2 linked regions of the Macaca mulatta genome follow. The main gene of each other region encodes a partner of the protein of the gene in region 2 in a complex. Links are inferred from orthologs where the notes say so. Each region holds a gene or a part of one and is shown on either strand. Other genes may lie near its edges.

Evidence for each region. The genes of interacting proteins can lie anywhere in the genome.
Region 1: the proteins of POLR2L (region 2) and POLR1B are in contact, whole or in part, in a cryo-EM structure (PDB 7OBA), measured with the Homo sapiens proteins. The link is inferred for Macaca mulatta from reciprocal best matches to the Homo sapiens genes POLR2L and POLR1B. Residues at the interface, in NP_066951.1 of Homo sapiens: Met1, Ile2, Pro4, Arg6, Cys7, Phe8, Thr9, Cys10, Gly11, Trp18, Tyr21, Leu22, Leu25, Gln26, Glu31, Gly32, Arg42, Tyr43, Cys44, Arg46, Arg47, Met48, Leu50, Ala51, His52, Val53, Asp54, Leu55, Glu57, Lys58; in NP_061887.2 of Homo sapiens: Leu16, Leu19, Thr20, Asp21, Pro22, Tyr24, Gly25, Pro27, Ile157, His160, Glu161, Glu162, Ala163, Phe698, Leu701, Thr702, Arg713, Gln715, Thr716, Pro717, Gln718, Ser719, Leu721, Asp733, Asn734, Pro736, Asn740, Ala741, Ile742, Asn760.

The regions. Positions count from the first base shown.
Region 1 is NC_133418.1:22,649,757-22,659,391, forward strand, and holds the end of POLR1B (DNA-directed RNA polymerase I subunit RPA2), read left to right. Parts: intron 1-949; coding exon 950-1,106; intron 1,107-4,775; coding exon 4,776-4,972; intron 4,973-5,774; coding exon 5,775-6,028; intron 6,029-7,041; coding exon 7,042-7,924; 3' UTR 7,925-8,472; downstream 8,473-9,635. UniProt on the Homo sapiens protein: Catalytic core component of RNA polymerase I (Pol I), a DNA-dependent RNA polymerase which synthesizes ribosomal RNA precursors using the four ribonucleoside triphosphates as substrates.
Region 2 is NC_133419.1:730,468-740,741, forward strand, and holds POLR2L (DNA-directed RNA polymerases I, II, and III subunit RPABC5), read right to left. Parts: upstream 6,516-10,274; 5' UTR 6,489-6,515; coding exon 6,394-6,488; intron 4,485-6,393; coding exon 4,376-4,484; 3' UTR 4,103-4,375; downstream 1-4,102. Other genes in the region: CD151 antigen, read left to right, coding at 3-86, 190-381, 693-767, 1,175-1,279, 1,389-1,547, 1,951-2,037, 2,141-2,200. UniProt on the Homo sapiens protein: DNA-dependent RNA polymerase catalyzes the transcription of DNA into RNA using the four ribonucleoside triphosphates as substrates.

The DNA.
Region 1 (9,635 bases), on a different chromosome or scaffold from region 2:
GTATCTTTACCATCTTAAAGACAGGGGAGTGGCAGGACAATATAAACAAAGAAAAAAGAGGAAATCGGCAGTAAGACATATGAACAAAAACCTCTGTGACATGAATAAGTTCAAAGGACAAAGCTGTGCCGTGAGATGCATATGCAGACATCTCCCTAAACCTTTTGGCAGCATAGTTTCAGTCTATCACATGGGGAGAAACCTTAGACAATACCTAGCTTATCTAGGAACAAAGTCACACCCTGCACGCCCAAAATCCATTAAACCTTGAGTTACCACAGCACATGTCTCTTGCAAGGACAAGGTTGGGGGTAGGGTCACAGACTAACAGCATCTCAAATACAGAACAAAATGGAGTCTCTTATGTCTACTTCTTTCTATATAGACACAGTAACAGGCTGATCTCTTTCTTTTCCCCACATTAAAAGGGTTGTTAGTGTTACAATAACAGTTGGACATTTGAAAGAAAGTCAGACTTACCACCTCCTCCGTGACCAGCACAAAGCAGTTCCCATGTCTGATCTCACTCCACAAGAACCTGAGAGGGTTGGTGGTCACATTACCTGCCTTCCATCCTGTCTGGCTCCCAGAGCTCCTTTGTACCTGACTCTGCCTCAGCTGGCGAAGTGAAAACATTCCATTAGATGCACACTCAGTCTTTGCCTACATATTTGCAGTTGCAAAGTTATAGGCTTTGTGCTACTTAAAATTTTTTCTTCCTATTCCCCTTCACAATTGGTCTGGGGTAGATTTAGAGTGGAATATGTAAAGCAAGTGGTATTTCTAAGTGGTCACTTCCCTGTGCTTCCCAGTTGATCCCTTCAGCACTCATGATGCTGGGCGGGGAAGGTTTTCTCTTGAGTCTTTGAGTGCTGAACTCTGAGAAATGGTAAGAGTTAATGTGTAAGCAGTTGCAGTTATTTTGTGCCTTGGACATCTGCTCTTCCAGATCTTCATGAATGTCGCTATCTTTGAGGATGAGGTTTTTGCTGGAGTTACCACACACCAGGAACTCTTTCCACACAGCCTGCTGAGTGTGATTGCCAACTTCATCCCTTTCTCTGACCACAACCAGAGTCCACGGAACATGTACCAGTGCCAGATGGGTAAGGAAGAGGGACGATGTTATAGTCACAATCAGGAAAGTAAACTTGATACTAGCATAGTCTTTTGTAGTCCTCATTTACATATGCTGACCATTTGTTCCAAAAATATGGCTTATGGCAAGTTTTTTTTTTTTCTGTGCCACAAGCAACCAGTCCAGGATCACTCATTGTATTTAGTTGGCATGTCTATTTAGTCTCCTGTAATTTATGACAGATCTTTAACCATTCTGTGTCTTTGACATTGACATTTTTGAAGAAAAAGGTATAGAATGTCCATAGATTTGGGTGTGCCTGGGGTCTTATTACTTGATTTTTTGAAGAATACAAGCAATCATAGTCACCCACGTATTTATCACTTCCAGTTCTCTTCATTCCTGTTGCAAGATTCAGGTTTTCATTGCTTACAGTTTTCCTTCAGCCTGATAATCTTCCTTTAGCATTTTTTTATATTGCAGGTTGCTGGCCACAAATTCTGTTGGTTTTCATTTATCTGAAAATGTCTTTATTTTACTTCACTTGAAGGAATCTTTCACTGGGTATACAGTTCTGAGTTGACAGTTCTTTTTCTTCCAGCACTTAAAAGTTGTTGTTACACTGGCTTTTCTTTGTCTCTGTCATTTCTAGTTAGAAAGCAGCAGTCTTCTGAATATAGTGTTTCTTTTTTTTTTTTTTTTTTTTTGAGACAGAGTGTTGCTCCATCGCCTAGGCTGGAGTGCAGTGGTATGATCTCGGCTCCCTGCAACCTCTGCCTCCTGGGTTTAAGTGATTCTTCTGCCTCAGCCTCCCAAGTAGCTGGGACTACAGGCACTCACCACCATACCCAGCTAATTTTTGTATTTTTAGTAGAGACGGGATTTCACCATGTTGGCCAGGCTGGTCTTGAACTCCTGACCTCAGGTGATCTGCCCACTTTGGCCTCCCAAAGTGCTGGATTACAGGCGTGAGCCACCGCGCCCGGCCCCAAATTTGTTTTTTTGTTTTTTTGTTTTTAAATTAAATTGCTAAACTCTTCTGTCATTATTTTTAAAAACATTGCTCCTACCCTTTTCTCTCTTTCCTCCCCTTCTGAGATATCAGTTACTCATATATTTAAACCTTTTGATATTGTTCCATAAGACATTGAGTTTCTGTTCTCTTTTTTTCTTTATTTTCTTCAGATTGGATCTTTTAATTTCTTTTTTTTTTTTTTTTTTTCCCTAAGATGGAGTCTCACTTTGTTACCTAGGCTGGAGTGCAGTGGTGCGATCTCGGCTCATTGCAACCTCTGCCTCCCATGTTCAATAAATTCTCCTGCCTCAGCCTCCCGAGTAGCTGGGATTGCAGGCACACATCACCATGCCCAGCTAATTTTTGTGTTTTAGTAGAGATGGGGTTTCACCATGTTGGCCTGGCTGGTTTTGAACTCCTGACCTCAAGTGATCTGCCTGCCTCAGCCTCCCAAAAACGCTGGGGTTACAGGTGTGAGCCACTGTGCCTGGCCCAGATTGAATTATTTTTATTGACCTATTATCACAGTCACTTTTCATTCTGTCTTCTACTGAATTTTCGCCTACAGTCATATACCCTTAACGACAGGGATACATTTGGAGAAGGGAGTCGTATGTGATTTTGTCGTAGTGTGAACATCATACAGTGAACTTACATAAACCTAGATGGCAGAGACTACTACACACCTAATATATGGTATAGCCTGTTGTTCCTAGGCTACAAACCTGGGTGGCATATAACTGTACTGTGTGCTGTCGACAGCTGTAAGACAATGGCAAGGATTTGTGTAGCTAAATATAGAAAAGATACAGTAAAAATGTGGGATCACCATAGTATATATGCCATCCTACATTGACTAAAACATTGTTATGCAGTGTATGACTGTATTTTCAAGTCCAGCACTTCCACTTGTTTCTTTTTTTTTTTTTTCTTTTTTTGAGACAGGGTATCGCTGTGTCACCCACCTGGAGTGCAGTGGCATGATCTTGGCTCACTGCAACCTCTGCCTCCCCAGTTCAAGCGATTCTTCTGCCTTCACCTTCTGAGTAGCTGAGATTACAGGCATGTGCCACCATGCCCAGCTAATTTTTTGTATTTTTAGTAGAGACAGGGTTTTATCATGTTGTTCAGGCTGGTCTCAAACTCCTGACCTCAAGTGATCTGCCCGCCTCAGCCTCCCAAAAGTGCTGGGATTACAGGTGTGAGCCACTGCGCCTGGCCTGACTTGTTTCTTTTTTTATAGTTTCTCTTTTCTCTAAGATTTCTTATCTTCATTGTGGGCATGTTTTCCTTTATATTTTTAGCATAGTTTTATATGATGGGTGTTGTAAAGTCATTATCTGCAGATTCCAATGTCTGGGTCATCTCAGGATCAGTCTCCTTGAGTATAAGTCAAGTTTCACCATTCATTTGTATGCCCAGTAATACTGGATTGTATTATGAACGTTGTGAGGAATATGTTTTAAACCCTGGATCCTGTTAGGGTCCTCTGAAGAGGATTGGTTTTGTTTGTTTTTAGTGTGGTGTTTGGCCTTCAATTACATTTTAATGTTTTTCATTTTACGTCTTTCCTTGTTAATACACAGTCCATCACCTGGCTCAGTGCATGTCACCAAAAATTCTCCAGGGGAAGAGGATTGGTTTTTAGTTTTCACTGGTACTTAACTTGGTGAACATGGCAGTTGAAGTACATTCTTCAGCCTTAGGTGGGCTGCTTTGATCTGTCCCATGCATGCATAGTTCAGGAGTCCACCAAAGATTGGGACCCAATTTTACATGCTGATTTTAAGGGTCTCCCTTTGTTCTCTCATTTCTGAAACATTCCCCTTTCCCAATTGTTGTCATGCTCAGAACTCTATTTCTTGGTTCTTCAAGCCAGTAAGACTGTGGGTTTCTATCTAAGTTGTGGCTGCCACACTGGGCCATAAGGCAAAAATATATACATAAATACTTATTCACCCAGTGTGGTTCCTTTCATCCAAGTAAAAATTCTTCCTCAGCTTCTGACAGCTTTTGGTTACTCTCCAGTGCTATATGTGTAGTTGGGGCCTTTTTTCTGCATCTTATACGTATGTGTTGAGGGTGGTCTTGTAAGAGTAGCCCTTTATTACTGGAAGCTCTAAGTTTATAATTTTTTAAAAAAATTTTCACTTGTATGTATTTATATTTTAAAATCATTTTGTTCGGAAATGATTATACTGTGAGGTAGTACACAGAGGAATCTCACCCCATACTCTACTACCTAGAATTAAATACATCTTCCGCTGTAAGAAAGTAATCTAATTCATAATAATTACTGTCCCCTTTTCTCCCCCCAGTAGTGGTATCCTGTAATTCGTGTGCTTCCTTTCTGTCCCCTTGTAAAGCTTTTATTACATCATACATGTATCCATAAACTAGGTATAGAATTGTGTGGGGCGTGTTGCAAATGCACATAAATCTTACATTAAATGTCAGTCTGCACTTTCTCCCGCTCAGCACGGTTTTCCTGGTCTGGTCACATTGATACATTTAGGTTTACTTCATTTTCACAGCTTATGTATTAGTCTAAAGTAAGCATAACTACTATGATTATTTATTCATTCTCCTCTGATGAATATTTAGTTGTTTCCAGTGTTGTGTATCACACCTATAATCAAGATGAAAGAAGCAGAAAATGCTAAGATGTTTTTCTCTGTGTAGGTAAGCAAACTATGGGCTTTCCACTTCTCACTTATCAAGACCGATCAGATAACAAACTGTATCGTCTTCAGACTCCTCAGAGTCCCTTGGTGAGACCCTCCATGTATGATTATTATGACATGGATAACTATCCAATTGGGACCAATGCCATCGTTGCCGTGATTTCTTACACTGGCTATGATATGGAAGATGCCATGGTAAGTTTTACTGGGAAATGTTGTTCCAATCTTTTTATCTTTTAACTCTTTTGTTTACTGTGAAATCACTGAAGGAATATTTTTGTGTACCCAAGTACCTGGTATTTGGCACATGATGTTCTATGAAATGATTAGTTCTTGGTCTAAGTTGAAAGTGGGCAAGCCTTGAGGAGTATCCACTAAATATTCAGATACACATATATCTTGCATATTTGAGTGCATATTATGAGTAAATTTTGAAGAGTTTGGTTTTGGATATATCTACCTTTTATATTTAAGTATGATTAGATTTTAAGCTATTTCTGTGTGCCTGGGTTTTTGTTTTTCTTGGTGTTTTTTGTTTTTTGTGTTTTTTTTGAGCCAGAGTCTTGCTCTATTGTCCAGGCTGGAGTGCAGTGGCATGATCTTGGCTCACTACAACCTCTGCCTTCTGGGTTCAAGCAATTCTCCTGCCTCAGCCTCTCGAGTAGCTGGGACTATAGGCACCCGCCACCACGCCTGGCTGATTTTTTATTTTTAGTAGAGATGGAGTTTCACCATGTTGGCTAGGCTGGTCTCTAACTCCTGACCTCAAGTGATCAGCCTGCCTTGGCCTTCCAAAGTGCTGGAATTACAGGCATGAGCCACTGTGCCTGGCCATGTCTGGATTTTTGTAGTTAGTATCAGTGATTTGGAAAATGTGAGGAGAGTTAAAATGTGATGCCAGTTATCCTAAACCAAGTATTATAGTCCCACCTAGTTTTATTTTGAAAATCCTCACTTGGCCTCAGTCTTTTAAATTAACGATTCTTTTACTTCACAGATTGTGAATAAGGCCTCTTGGGAACGAGGCTTTGCCCATGGAAGTGTCTACAAGTCTGAGTTCATAGACCTCTCTGAAAAAATTAAACAAGGAGATAGTAGCCTGGTGTTTGGAATCAAACCTGGTGACCCACGGATTTTGCAGAAGTTAGATGACGATGGATTGCCGTTTATAGGAGCAAAACTGCAGTATGGAGATCCATATTACAGCTACCTAAACCTCAACACTGGGGAAAGTTTTGTGATGTACTATAAGTAAGTTTGGGTATCCAAGCTGGTTTTTGTTTGTTTTTTGAGATAGGGTCTCAGTGTGTTAGCCAGGCTGGAGTGCAGTGGAGTGATCTCACTCCCTACAACCTCCACCTCCCGGCTCAAGCAATCCTCTCACCTCAGCCTTCAAGTAGCTGGGACTACAGGCACGTACCACCATGCCCAGCTAATTTTTTGTATTTTTAGTAGAGATGGTTTCACCATGTTGCCCAGGAGGGTCTCGAACTCCTGGGCTCAAGTGATCCACCTGCTTCAGCCTCCCAAAGTGCTAGGATTACAGGTGTGAGCCACTGTGCCTGGTCTATTTGTGCTTTTTTTAAAAACTGTATTATACAAACTTTGTCGTCTTTATCATATACAATGTTAGCAATGTTTCCTAGCCAAAATGTTGAGCTCATACCTCTTATTAGAAATGTCTTATTTTAGCTTATTTTACAATATAATTTATTTCAGTAGACCTTCATAATAACTTTTCAGTTGCCTTTGTTGCTAGTTTTCTTTCAGATGAACATAATTCTGTAGTGAATATCACCAATAGCTCTATTCATACCATCTCTGTTTGTATTGGAGAATAAAGGTAAGAATGAGTTTTGCAGGCCAGGCACAGTAGTTCACACCTGCAACCCGACAATTTGGGAGACCAAAATGGGAGGCTCCCTTAAGCCCAGAAGTTCAAGATCAATCTGGGCAATGTAGTGGGACCCTGTCTCTACAAAAAATTTAAAAATTAGCCAAGCCTAGTGGCATGTACCTGTAGTCCCAGCTACTGAGGCGGCTAAGGTGGGAGGATTCCTTGAACCTGGAAAGTCAAGGCTGCAGTGAGCTGTAATCACACCACCCCTCTCCAGCCTGGGCAACAGAGTGAGACCCTGTCTCATAAAAAAAAAAAAAAAATGTGTTTTACAAGTATCTTTTATGAAGCACTAATTATGTCAATGAAACTTACCTCTATAAGTTTAAACAAATAGGTTGACCTTACAGAGTTTACTTTTTCCTAGGAGTAAAGAAAATTGTGTTGTGGATAACATCAAAGTGTGCAGTAATGACACTGGGAGTGGAAAATTCAAGTGTGTTTGCATCACTATGAGAGTGCCTCGGAACCCAACTATCGGAGATAAATTTGCCAGTCGTCATGGGCAGAAGGGCATTTTGAGCAGATTGTGGCCAGCTGAGGACATGCCTTTTACTGAGAGTGGGATGGTCCCAGACATTCTGTTCAATCCCCATGGTTTTCCATCCCGCATGACCATCGGGATGTTAATTGAGAGTATGGCTGGGAAGTCTGCAGCTTTGCATGGTCTCTGCCATGATGCTACACCCTTCATCTTCTCAGAGGAGAACTCGGCCTTAGAATACTTTGGTGAGATGTTAAAGGCTGCTGGCTACAATTTCTATGGCACCGAGAGGTTATATAGTGGCATCAGTGGGCTAGAACTGGAAGCAGACATCTTCATAGGAGTGGTTTATTATCAGCGCTTACGCCACATGGTCTCAGACAAATTTCAAGTAAGGACAACTGGGGCCCGAGACAGAGTCACCAACCAGCCTATTGGGGGAAGAAATGTCCAGGGTGGAATCCGTTTTGGGGAGATGGAACGGGATGCGCTTTTAGCTCACGGTACATCTTTTCTCCTTCATGACCGCCTCTTCAACTGCTCGGATCGGTCAGTAGCCCACGTGTGTGTGAAGTGTGGCAGTTTACTCTCTCCACTGTTGGAGAAGCCACCCCCTTCTTGGTCTGCCATGCGCAACAGAAAATACAACTGTACTCTGTGTAATCGCAGTGACACTATCGATACTGTTTCTGTGCCTTATGTTTTTCGGTATTTTGTAGCTGAATTGGCAGCTATGAACATCAAAGTGAAACTGGATGTTGTTTAACTTGATGTTGACCTTTTGGATTAGGAGGCCTATCAGATTAAAACAAAACGTAATTTTAGTTCAATGAAGATATTATTACCAGGTTACTCTTGAGATTTTTCAAGGGTGTTAGAACTCTCAACCAAGATCTGAAAACCAAGAATGCAAAGTGTGAATCTCGCTGGTAGATTAACTGTTGACAATGATTTTCTGTATATTTGTTCAAAAATCTCATGTCTTCTCAAAATATGAAATATTGATAAATGGAAGAACATACAGGTTCCCTACACCCTGCTTTCAGCAGGCAGTGACTGTCACACACCTGTTAATCCATCTTGAGCAGGACAGTACTATACAAATAGAATGCAAGCTGTAACGTAATTTTATATTTTCTTATAGCAACATTGAAGTAAAAACAAACAGTTACAGTGTTTTTTGCCAGCTTTATAGAAGTACAGTTGTTACATATGTAATGAATACAGTTTGATGGGTTAGACTATATGTACACACCTTTGATACCATCACCACAATCAGGGTAATAAACATATCTGTCATCTCCACAAGTTTCCTCCTGCCCCTTTGTTTTTTGCTTTTTGGTTGCTGTTGAGTTTTTGTTTTGTTTTCTGTGGTAAGAACACGTAACTCAAGACCTACCCTCTTAACAAATCTTTAAGTGTACAATACACTATTGTTAATTATAGGCACCATGTTGTACAACAGATCTTTAGACCTTGCTTGTCTTGCATAACTGAAGCTTTATACCTGTTGAACAACTCTCCATTTCCCTAGCCCCTAGCAACCACCCTTCTACCCTGTTTCTACAAGTTTGACTATTATAGATATCTCATATAGTGGTATCATGCAATATTTGTCCTCCGACTGGCTTATTTCACTTAGGATAGTGAAATAAGATTCATCCATTTTGGAAGCCAGGCATGGTGCTATGCATCTGTAGTCCCTGCTATTTGAGAGGCTAAGGTGGGAGGATCATTTAAGTGCAGGAGTTCAAGGCCAGCCTGGGTACTGTAGGAAGACCTTGTCTTAAAGACCTTGACCTCAAGTGATCCACCCACCTTTGCCTCCCAAAGTGCTGGGATTACAGGTGTGAGCCACTGCGCCTGGCCTCCAGTGAGTATTTTATATTTAGTCTACACTTCCATACTTGGCTTTTTTCTGCATTTATATTGACCTGCTTTCAAGCAGTGTGTAGAGTGCCGCTTATGTTTTCTTTCCTGTGCACAGTATTTTATTGTACGGATATACCATCCCCTGTGTATTTGAGTTGTTCCATTCTTTGGCCATTATAACTTTTTTCGGCAAATACTCTGCCTATTTATCTTTGGCCATTATAAACTGTTGATAATAGATCATCTTGTATGTACTTGTGCAATTATAGGATGTTTTTTGATGATGAAAGCTTTCCTAAGGTAATTCTTTCCTGAGTTTGGTTTAGATGGTCTGTCACTAATTATAAAATAAGGCAGATAGGAAAAGACTCAGAAAAATCTATCATTTCAAGATAGGCTTAGCAGGACGGGCATGGTGGCTCACACCAGTAATCCCAACATTTTAGGAGGCCTAGGTGAGAGCGATCACTTGTGCCTAGGAGTTCTAGACCAGCCTGGGCTGAGACTAATGACAAAAAAATTAGCCAAGCATGGTGGCACACCCCTGTAGTCCCAGCTACTTGGGAGGCTGAGGTGGGAGGATTGCTTGAACCCAAAAGGTTGAG
Region 2 (10,274 bases):
GGATGGGTGAGTTTAACGAGAAGAAGACAACATGTGGCACCGTTTGCCTCAAGTACCTGCTGTTTACCTACAACTGCTGCTTCTGGGTGAGGAGGGGTCGCCTTGCCCCCACTCCCACCCCCACCCCTGCCCCTCCTGGGTCACCATCAGACCTGGGCAGACTCGGTGACTGGTGTGTACTGCTTGTAGCTGGCCGGCCTGGCTGTCATGGCAGTGGGCATCTGGACGCTGGCCCTCAAGAGTGACTACATCAGCCTCCTGGCCTCGGGCACCTACCTGGCCACAGCCTACATCCTGGTGGTGGCGGGCGCTGTCGTCATGGTGACCGGGGTCTTGGGCTGCTGTGCCACCTTCAAGGAGCGTCGGAACCTGCTGCGCCTGGTCAGCAGGGCGCAGGGCCACGGGGCGGGGTGGTTTGGATGGGGCCCAAGGGGGTTGTTGAACCTGTGCCTTGCTGTGCTCACCTGGGGGGGCACGGTCCTTCCACCCCTGCCTAGTCCTGTGGGTCCCCACATTCCCGCTGGACCAGCTGAGGGAAGACACCAGCTCCACAAGAAACCTTCAGGGAGGGTGGCCGCCACTCAGCCCCCACCTGGAGCCTGGGGAGCCGGGGTGGGGACTCTGCTCTGAGGTGCCCAGGCACTAGGCCTCAGAACTAGGCCTCCTTGTGCACCCTGCCTCCCCCCACCCAGTACTTCATCCTGCTCCTCATCATCTTTCTGCTGGAGATCATCGCTGGTGTCCTCGCCTATGTCTACTACCAGCAGGTGAGGGGCCTGGGCAGGCCATTCAGAGACACAGACATGCACAGGTGGGGTGGACACACACAGATGCACACACGTGGCTAGCCCCAGCCCCTATCCCCACGGTCCCAGAGCTGACCAACGTGCCACTGGGCCTTGGAGGTGAGGTCTAGGTCTCTGCAGGGGCACATGGGGTCAGGCAGGTGTCCAGGGAATCCGGAAGCCATCTCTGCCTCTGCCGCACTCCACTGTCACCCTGGTGACGGTCCTGGCACCACCCAACCTCCCCTCATGCCGAGGTCTGACCTCAGCCCTTCCCTCTGGCTCTGAGCCAGGACCTGGGCCTCCCCTCAGGCCATCCTGGGGCTCTGCCAGCCCCACCTTGGAAGGTCTTAGACTGAGACTGAAGTTTCTTGTACCCCAAACCCCAGCTGAACACAGAGCTCAAGGAGAACCTTAAGGACACCATGGCCAAGCGCTACCACCAGCCGGGTCACCAGGCCGTGACCAGCGCTGTGGACCAGCTGCAGCAGGAGGTGGGTGGGTGGGTGGTGCTGGGAGGGTGCATGCATCCCCAGGGCCTCCCTGGACCTGTGCAGGAGCCTCTGGTCCCAGGTCTCACCCTGAGCCTTGTTCTTGATGCAGTTCCACTGCTGTGGCAGCAACAACTCACAGGACTGGCGGGACAGTGAGTGGATCCGCTCAGGGGAGGCCGGTGGCCGCGTCGTCCCCGACAGCTGCTGCAAGACGGTGGTGGCTGGTTGTGGGCAGCGGGACCATGCCTCCAACATCTACAAGGTGGAGGTGGGTGGGCAGCGGAACCATACCTCCAGTATCTATGAGGAAGTGTGGGGGGCCTCCAGTATCTATGAGAAGGTATGGGGGCCTCCAGTATCTATGAGAAGGTATGGGGGCACCCCAGTATCTATGAGGAGGTGGGTCACCCCAGTGGCCGGATGTGGGCAGTGAGACCACGCCTCCAACATCTACGGGAGGTGGGTGGGCAGCCCAGTGGCCAGATGTGGGCAGTGAGACCACGCCTCCGGTATCTTAGGAGGTGGTGGGTGGGCAGCCCAGTGGCTGGCTGAGCTGTCAGTGGCCTGGCTGCGTAGGTGCTAGGGGTGGGCATGGCCACACCCTGGAGGTGGTGGGGGCCAGTGGGAAGTGCCCCCTGGGCCCACCTTCAGCACCCATCTGCGCCCCGCAGGGCGGCTGCATCACCAAGTTGGAGACCTTCATCCAGGAGCACCTCAGGGTCATTGGGGCTGTGGGGACCGGCATTGCCTGTGTGCAGGTGAGGGCACGCGGGGTGACGGGTATTTTGTCGGGGACATGAGGCAGGGCGGTGGTTGCTGGCCCCACGGCGTCTACTTATGCCCGCCTGGCTCTGCACACAGGTCTTTGGCATGATCTTCACATGCTGCCTATACAGGAGCCTCAAGCTGGAGCACTACTGACCCTGCCCTGGGCTTGGCTGCGGCTCTCTGTGCCTTGCTGCTGCTGCACCCAACTACTGAGCTGAGACTACTAAGTGCCAGGGGTTGGGCTCCCTGATGACACCCACCCTGTGCCATCACCATAACCTCTGGGGACCCCAACCCCAGAGGCAGCTTCAAGTGCCTTTCGCTGCACACCAAAGCCCAGCAGGGAAGTAAGGGGGGCTGGCGGGACGACGGTATCGGGGGTGTTTTGTGGGGCTGCCTGAACACATTCTGCCTGGTGGTCAGATGCAGGCTGGAAGGGGCCTTGCTGAGTAGGGCAAGGCCGAGTGTTCCCAGCAGGGGGAGAAGCCCTTCACACCCCAGGCCCTTCAGGGATTGGGGCTTTGCCTTGCAGCCACATGGCCCCATCCCAGTCAGAGAAACTGAGTAAGGTCTGACCCTTGGGCCTGGGCCTCTGCCCCTCCCCACCCAGGCCTCGTCTCCCTCAGAGCCCCTGCTGTCTTCCCCACCGCGGTCACCACCACCCGAAATGCCACATGGTCACTGTGCACTGCCCCATCCATGTGCCTGTGTGGGGCAGGGGCCTCCCAGTTTTGTTCACTGCTGTACCCAGATGCCTACAATCATCCCTGCCACATACAGGTGCTCAATAAACACTTCTGGGGCAGATGGACGAGCCCGCTGTGCTGGTGAGATGGTCTGTTCTCAGGGCCCATCACGTCCAGCAGGGTAGACAGACCCCTCCTTGCAGTGTCAGGACAAAGAAGGGCAGAGCCAGGACACAGCCCCCATGGGGCTCCAGGGAAGGGAGGTCTGATGCCAGGGACAGCCAAGCACAGGTCTCACAGCAGAAAGAACTGATCATGTTTCTAAATGGTGAGATGGTGGTGTGTTCAGAGCCCCTGGGGGAGAGGAAAAATGGTTTCCAAAGACCCTTCTGGTCATGGGGGGGAGCAGACATGGGAAGGGTGCACACTGGGGGCTGTGCCCAGGTAAGAGGCGTCAGGCAGATGGGTGGGGGCAGTAGGGTGAGGGGGTTTACATGGTAGAGCCTATAGGCCCTGCTGGGGGCACGGATGGGAGATACCAGAGCCTGGTGTCTGGCAGAGGTACCCTGGAGACGGGAGCCAGGGTTCAGTCACTGATTGTACCCCCCACTGCCCAGGCTCCTGTCCCTAAGGCTCAGAACTGAAGACCCTCAGGCAGACCCATTCTCCCCCACCAGAGGGCACCACGCCAGGTATCTCAGCAGCAGGGCCATCTGACCTGGGGTGCTTGCTGGCAGCACTGCCTGGACAGCAGGGCCTCCTTAGGGCCGCCTCCCAAGCCAGCTAGGGGTGTCTTAAGGCCTGCCCTCCCTGCTAGACTCGGGTGGGACCCTCAGGGACAGCCAGCAGTGGGCAGGGGCCAGCAGGTGCTGGCATCCGTGACCATAGCAAAGACTGGGCCCCAGACGATCTGGTTCTTTTTTTTCTTTTTTTTTGAGATGGAGTCTCACTGTCACCCAGGCTGGAGTGAGTGGCGCAATCTCGGCTCACTGCAAGCTCCCCCTCCCGGGTTCAAGCAGTTCTCCTGCCTCAGCCTCCCGAGTAGCTGGGACTACAGGCGCCCGGCACCTCACCTGGCTGTTTTTTTTTTTTTTGTATGTTTAGTAGAGACGGGGTTTCACCGTGTTAGCCAGCATGGCCTCAATCTCCTGACCTCGTGATCCACCCGCCTTGGCCTCCCAAAGTGCTGGGATTATAGGGGTGAGCCACCGTGCCTGGCCTAAATCTGGCTCTTCAGATTCCAAGAGAGAGAGTACAGGAGCCTCTGCTCAGTCTGAAGAGCACCCAGAAGGAGGGAACCTCAGCCCTGAGATGGAAGGCTCTCCTGGCAGCACCTCCTGCAGGGGTACCTGTGGAACAGGCTGGCCCCAGGGCTAGGAGAATTCATGGCCCAGTCGGCTTCCCTGGGCTGCCGCGGTGTGAGAGCTGGGCCTAGTCCTGGCCCCTGACATCCTAGTGAGGGCTGGGACCTTGGTAGTTCTGAAAGACCTTTACTGGATTGTTCCTTCCAGAGTGGGGGATGGGACACACACACGCTGTGGCGAGGCATTGCGCCAGCTCCTGGATGCCTCAGCCTTGTGAACTTGGGGCAGGATGCTCATGGCCCATGGTCAGCATGGCAGGTAGGCGGATTCCAGCCTGGTCACTTCTCCAGGGGTGCATAATTGAGCAGCTTCTCGATCAGGTCCACGTGGGCCAGCAGCATCCGGCGGCAGCAGTAGCGCTTCAGGCCCAGGGCGTCCAGCGCATCCCTGTGTCAAGCGAGGGGAGGAACAGAGAGGCCAGCTGAGTTCTCCACGGTCTGCACAGGCCTGGAGCCCACATCCAGGCCGCCTCTCACTGCCTGCTGGCCTCACTCCCCTGCTACCGGCAAGGCGAACACATTCACCTGGATGAGAAGTAGAGACCTAGGGGTATGATCCTGGTTGGAGTAACCTGGCAATGCCCAGATCCCTGGGTGGAGCGTGAGGAGCCTTCTCTCCCACCTACTCTGGCTGTACATATGTGTGTCTAACATATGTAAGAAATATAAATGAAACGAAAACTAGAGGTAATTGGGGGAGCATAGAAAACCAAGGCCACCGAGGTCCTGATGCGCAGCTCCCCTCATCCCGCACCAGCCACAGCAGGGTAGCTCTCCAGGGGCCTGCCCTTAGCTGGTTCATCCCCCACCCCAGAGCAAGCCCTACTCTGCCACTGTGGCGTCTTTTCTCACCTCTGCTTCCTTCAATCAGGGAGAGACTGCTTCTCCAGGGAGCCACCTCTCCCATTTCCCAAGCCAATTAGAAGCTTTAATTTCCCTGGGACCAAGGTCCAGTCACCATCAATACTTCCAGAAAACTCCCACACTGATGGCTCCAATGTGCAGAGAGAGAAGCTTGGGAAAGGGGAGGCCACATGGGAGGCCCCTGCAGTTCATATCCCTGGGAAAGGGTCTGGACAGGCCACCAGCCACTCACTCTGGCAGCCCACTCGCTTTACTCATTCGTCCAGCAAGCTGCACTGAGAGCCTATGGCAGGCTGGCACACACGAGCCTGGGGTTTCACATGTGACCAGGACTCAGCAGGCAAGGGTCAGACTCCAGCAGGGGCACCAAGACTCAGGCACGGTGGTGACAGCAGCACCGAGGGACAAGCACAGGAGAAGGATGCCTCCCCCACAAAGCCCGATGATGAGGGTGGTCAGCAAGTCTGCCCTGCATTTCTTTTTCTGTGTGTGTGTGTGTGTGTGTGTGTGTGCGTGACACGGAGTTTCACTCTCTCATCCAGGCTGGAGTGCAGTGGCGTGATCTCGGCTCACTGAAATCTTCACCTGCCTCCCAGCCTCAAGCGATTCTCTCGCCTCAGCCTTCCAAGTAGCTGGGACCACAGGTGTGCACCACCAAGTCCGGGGAATTAAAAAGATAAGAGGGCCAGGGGCGGTGGCTCACACCTGTCATCTCAGCACTCCAGGAGGCCGAGGCAGGTGGATCACCTGAGGTCAGGAGTTCGAGACCAGCCTGGCCAACATGGCGAACTCCTATCTCTACTAAAAATACAAAAATGAGCCGGGCGTGGACACGCCTGTAGTCCCGGCGACTGGGGAGAATTCCTGGAGCCCAGGAAGCAGAGGTTGCACTGAGCCGAGATCGCGCCGCTGCACTCCAGCCTGGGCGACAGAGCGAGACTCCGTCCCCAAAAAAAAAAAAAAAAAGAAAAAATTTCTGGAGATCAGGGTCTCCCCAGGTTGTCCAGGCTGGTCTCGACCTCCTGGGCTCAAGCAAGCCTCTCGCCTCGGCTTCCCAAACTTCTGGGATTACAGGCGTGAGCCGCCGCGCCCGCCCGTCCTGCAGCGAGGTTTGCAGGACATGGGGTGGGTCTGGGAGCAGAGACGAGAGATTAGGACGGAGACCAAGGGCTTTACTGCGGGTGACAAGACGCCTGCCACCCGCCAGGCCACCTAGAATCCCCAGGACACCACTGGTTTGAAGCCCAACTCCGTTCTCTCCCCAGACTTCAGGGGACAATGTTCTCCCGAAAGCAGATCACAGAGCTGGGCCGGAGTGGCCGGGTATGAAGCTGCTCATGGAGCGCCGGCCCCAGGCAGCGCTGCGCCTCCCGCCCCGGCCCGCACCCCAGGGCGGACTCAGCCCCCAGCCCCGGCCCCAGCCCGCGCCTCACCCCTCAGTGTACTCGGCCTGCAGCAGCCCCAGGTAGGCCTCCCACTTGTTGCCGACGATCTTGCCGCAAGTGAAACACCGTACAGGAATGATCATGGCGGCGGCGCGTCCCAGACTGCCCGGCCCGGTCCGGCCGCACGGGAAGCACTCCCCCCAGGCCCCGCCCCGGGCGCGTCCACTATCGCGGGGGGACCGGCTCCGCTCGTTCTCCGCTGCCCCAGCCGTTCATACACTGGCCCCGGCGCAGCTGGCCGCAGTTTCCGCCGCCATGGGGATTCCCCATGCGGCCCGGGGCTCCTGGGCCTGCACGGCCGCGGCAGCAACAGACGACACACCCCCGCCCACCATCTTGGTGCGTCCCGGAGCTACGGCGTCTGAGCAGGGCCGAAAGCCGCGGTGGCGGTTCGCGTTTCTCGTGTCCGCTTGACTGACAGCTGCGCGGAGGGAGCGGACGAAGCGAGCGGGAGGCGGCGGCGCAGGTAGAGCGCCCGGGGGGTCGTGGGGGCGTGCGGCCAGGGTCTCGCGGCCCGAGGTGTCCGACCGGGAGCGGCTGGAGCCGGACGCGAGCGGGGCGCGCGAGTTCGAGCCTAGAGCCGACACGCAGCAACAAGTGGGGTCCGGCGCGGGGGCTTGGGGAGAGGGCGGGCGCGGACCGGGGCGGGTCTTCCTGCTGCCCCTCTTGGCCCCGCCGGGTAGTGGGTCCCTCCGCCTCCGCCTCTACTCGCGGGGTGTCCGGGGCTCTCGGCGCCGAGTTCGGGGGTCCCATTCTGGACGCGGCCCAGCCCCTAGGAGCGCCGTCCTGGCCTCGGCCGCGCAGTTACGGCCCCCGCCGGCTGCTCCCCGCCCCGGCCTCCTGTCCGCGTTCTTTCCGCTCCTTCCCAGGAAGGGGGTCGGGGTGCGCCCTCCCCGGTCCCGGCTCTGCTGGGCTGCTGGCCGTCCCGACGCTGAGACGCGCCTCTGAGCACGGGGAGAGGGGGCCCGGGAGGGAGGTCGGGGAGGGCGTCGTGGAAGAGGTGCTCTTTGAATTGAACCTTGAAGACCCCGGCACAGGGGACCCCTGGGCAGACTCCCGGAGGCTGCACTGGCAGGACCCGCTGAAGGCCGCAGCTCTGCCTTGCCCTGGAGCTCAGGGCCTACGGAGGACGAGGGAGGGGGAGCCCGTGTCTCTCGGATGGAGTGCGGGGGGGCTGGCACCAGCACCCTCCTTGCTGTGCCCCTAGGGTGGGGGTGAGGAAATGGGGGGTCGGTGTGCAGTAGGAGGCAAAGAAGACTCCTTGGAGGTGCCAGGTAGGCTGTGGGGGGGTGGGTGGGCTGCAAAGTGGCACCCATGGGGGGGCTCTGGGCTGGGGCTTCCAGCTGGGGTGGGACCTGTGCTGGGTTCCAGGCATCAGCTGCCGCTTTCTCAGGGCAATGCTGGGTCTGCCTTAGTTGCAGGGGAGGAGGATGAAGGGTTTTCTGGATCCAGAGTGGTGCTGGCCAGATCCACTGCACACTTGGGATTTCTGCTCCCAACCTGGCCAGGGCCCTGGGCAGCTTCCCCAGTGGCGTTTGTCATACCCCACCCAGCCACGTGCAGAGCCACGAGCGGAGGCCACTTCCCTTCCCTGACCCCCTCCCCCCAGGATGAGTGGACGCACATCCTGCTCTGGCAGAGGGGCAGGACAGGGGCCGTGAGTAACGGTGGCCTGGGGTCAGAGCCAGGCTCAGCTGCAGAGGCTGCTGGTGGCTGTGGAGGTGAGGGAGGAAGGGGGGTCCGGGATGTTAGCAGGGTGGGCCCTGGGGAGTGGGTGGGGGCCCGGAGGCTTCCTGGAGGAGGGTCCAGGGCCTGTCCTGCGCCTGTTCCTGCCTGCAGGAGTTGTTTACTCGGAGCACGGGGCGGGGAGAGTAAGCTGCCCTCCAAATCCTGGCTTGGGCCAAGCTGACATTCTTGGAATTCCAAGTGTGTAAGCTTCCTATCCCTCCATTTCCTAGCAGAGCCCCTGAGACCTGGAGACTGCCCCAGCCTCAGGCTCTGTGCCCCTCCCCCGAGTCCCCACCACATGTGTGTGGAGGCCGCTGGGGAGCCCAGGCCTGTCCTCAGCCCTGACGGGGCTATACCTGAGGACCCTGGGGAGCCTGGGCCTGCCTCAGCCCTGGCTGGTGCGTCCCCCTGAGAGCGTGTGGGGCGGAACAGCCTGGGGCCTGGGCCCGACCCTCCTCAGGCTAGCGGGGGTGGGAGGGAGCCTCCTGGGGGGGCAGGGCACTGTGCTGGCCAGCAGGGGCCGGTGGGGGCCCCTCTCTCCTGGGTGTGGAGTGTTGGTACAGACCCGGCCTGGCTTCTGGGGAGGGCCTGGGATGGGGCCAGGAGGCGAGGCACTGGTTTCATAGAAGGGGGCGTTGTGGAGCCTCCTGTGGTCAGCACAGGGCACAGGGAGCGGAGGGTGGGCTCCCCCAAGCGCTTCCTGCTAGAGGAGGGGTCACTTCAGGGCAAGTGACCAGGGGAAACCCATGATTGAAGTTTTAGCTGCTGAGCCCCTCCCACCCCGGGTGTTGCCCTGGAAACAGGCCAGCCACGGGACCGGGAGGGCTGGGAGGGGGGAGCACGGGCTGCGCCCTCGCTGGGATTCAGCTGAACTTGCACTCTGGTCTGGGATCACAGCCCGTGTTTCCCTATCTGTGAAGCTCAGGTGGGACCAGAAACTGCCCACCAGGAGGGCTGCATCCCTCCTGCCACTGAGACCAGGCATGGCCTTTGGCTGGGAGAGGGTGATCATGGTGTGTGTCCGCAGCCTCGCCCCCACACCTGTGCCCCTTGGCCCTGTCCATGGCTGGGACAGATGTGTGCTCACCCTGAGGATGTTGTGGGGTGGGATGGGTGCACACGGCGTCACGAGCACACGTGCCCGACACCTCAGCGGTGCACACAGCCAAGGCCACTGCTTGCCGTACCCACAACGTCCGCGTCCTCCCTGCAGTCCTGGGAGATCAGCATTTTGAGCAGTGGGGTCTGTAGATGGGGCCAAGGCTGAACTGGCCCCAGCCTAACCACTCACATGCCTGGGCTGGTGGCATTTGGGAATGTCACTGCCTGCCATGCAGCTGCCCAGGCCTGATGTGCCCCCCAGACTGTTCTGTAGGGGTCTAGGTTGCACGGGTCAGGGCCCGGGCTGTGGTGGGATGGCACCTGAGGTGCGGCTGCTCCTGGAGCCTGGGGGTTGTGGGAAGGTGCCCCCCACCCAGGGTCCTAAGTGTGTTGCTTTCACCCCCAACTCCCAGAAGAGAAATACCAACAGTGCAGGGGAGGGTTACGGGGAAGGCCTGGAGTGTGGGGTTGGCCTCGGTGGTCCTGGGAGGAAAGACTGGGGAACCTCTGGACGGTCTGTCCCTCCCCTGGGGCTGGTGGGGGGATCAGAGTGGTGTCTCCAGCCTCCAGGGCTCAGGTTTGGGTGGGAGAGGCCTAGTCCCACCCAGACTCTGTGTGCAGCCCCCAGTCCCTGCTCCTTGTATGCATGAGGGGGTGCTAGCTTGCTTGGGACCCCCCCGCCCAGGGTGAGGGCCTGGGACGGGCACTGGGGCCCCACAGGGGCTGAGGCAGCCAGGAAGCCCACAGCATAAGCTGTTTGTGTTGGCGGGCCTCCCTGCTTCCTCAAAGCTACCTCAGAGCCTGTGAGCCTGGGGAGTCAGGGTGTGTGGGCTTGGCTCTGCTGTCTGTCCTGAGCTGCCCCTGCTGGGCTGTGTGGCGACCCCAGGCTCTGGGCTGGGCCAGGACTGAGCTGCTGCCCTGCTGCTGGGGCTCAGAGAGGCCGCTCCACTGGCCTGGCACCCAGGCTACTGCAGACAGGCTGCTCTGTCGCATGGGCAGGCCTCTCTTGGGGGGGGACCTCCCTCTGGCTTCGTGGGTGT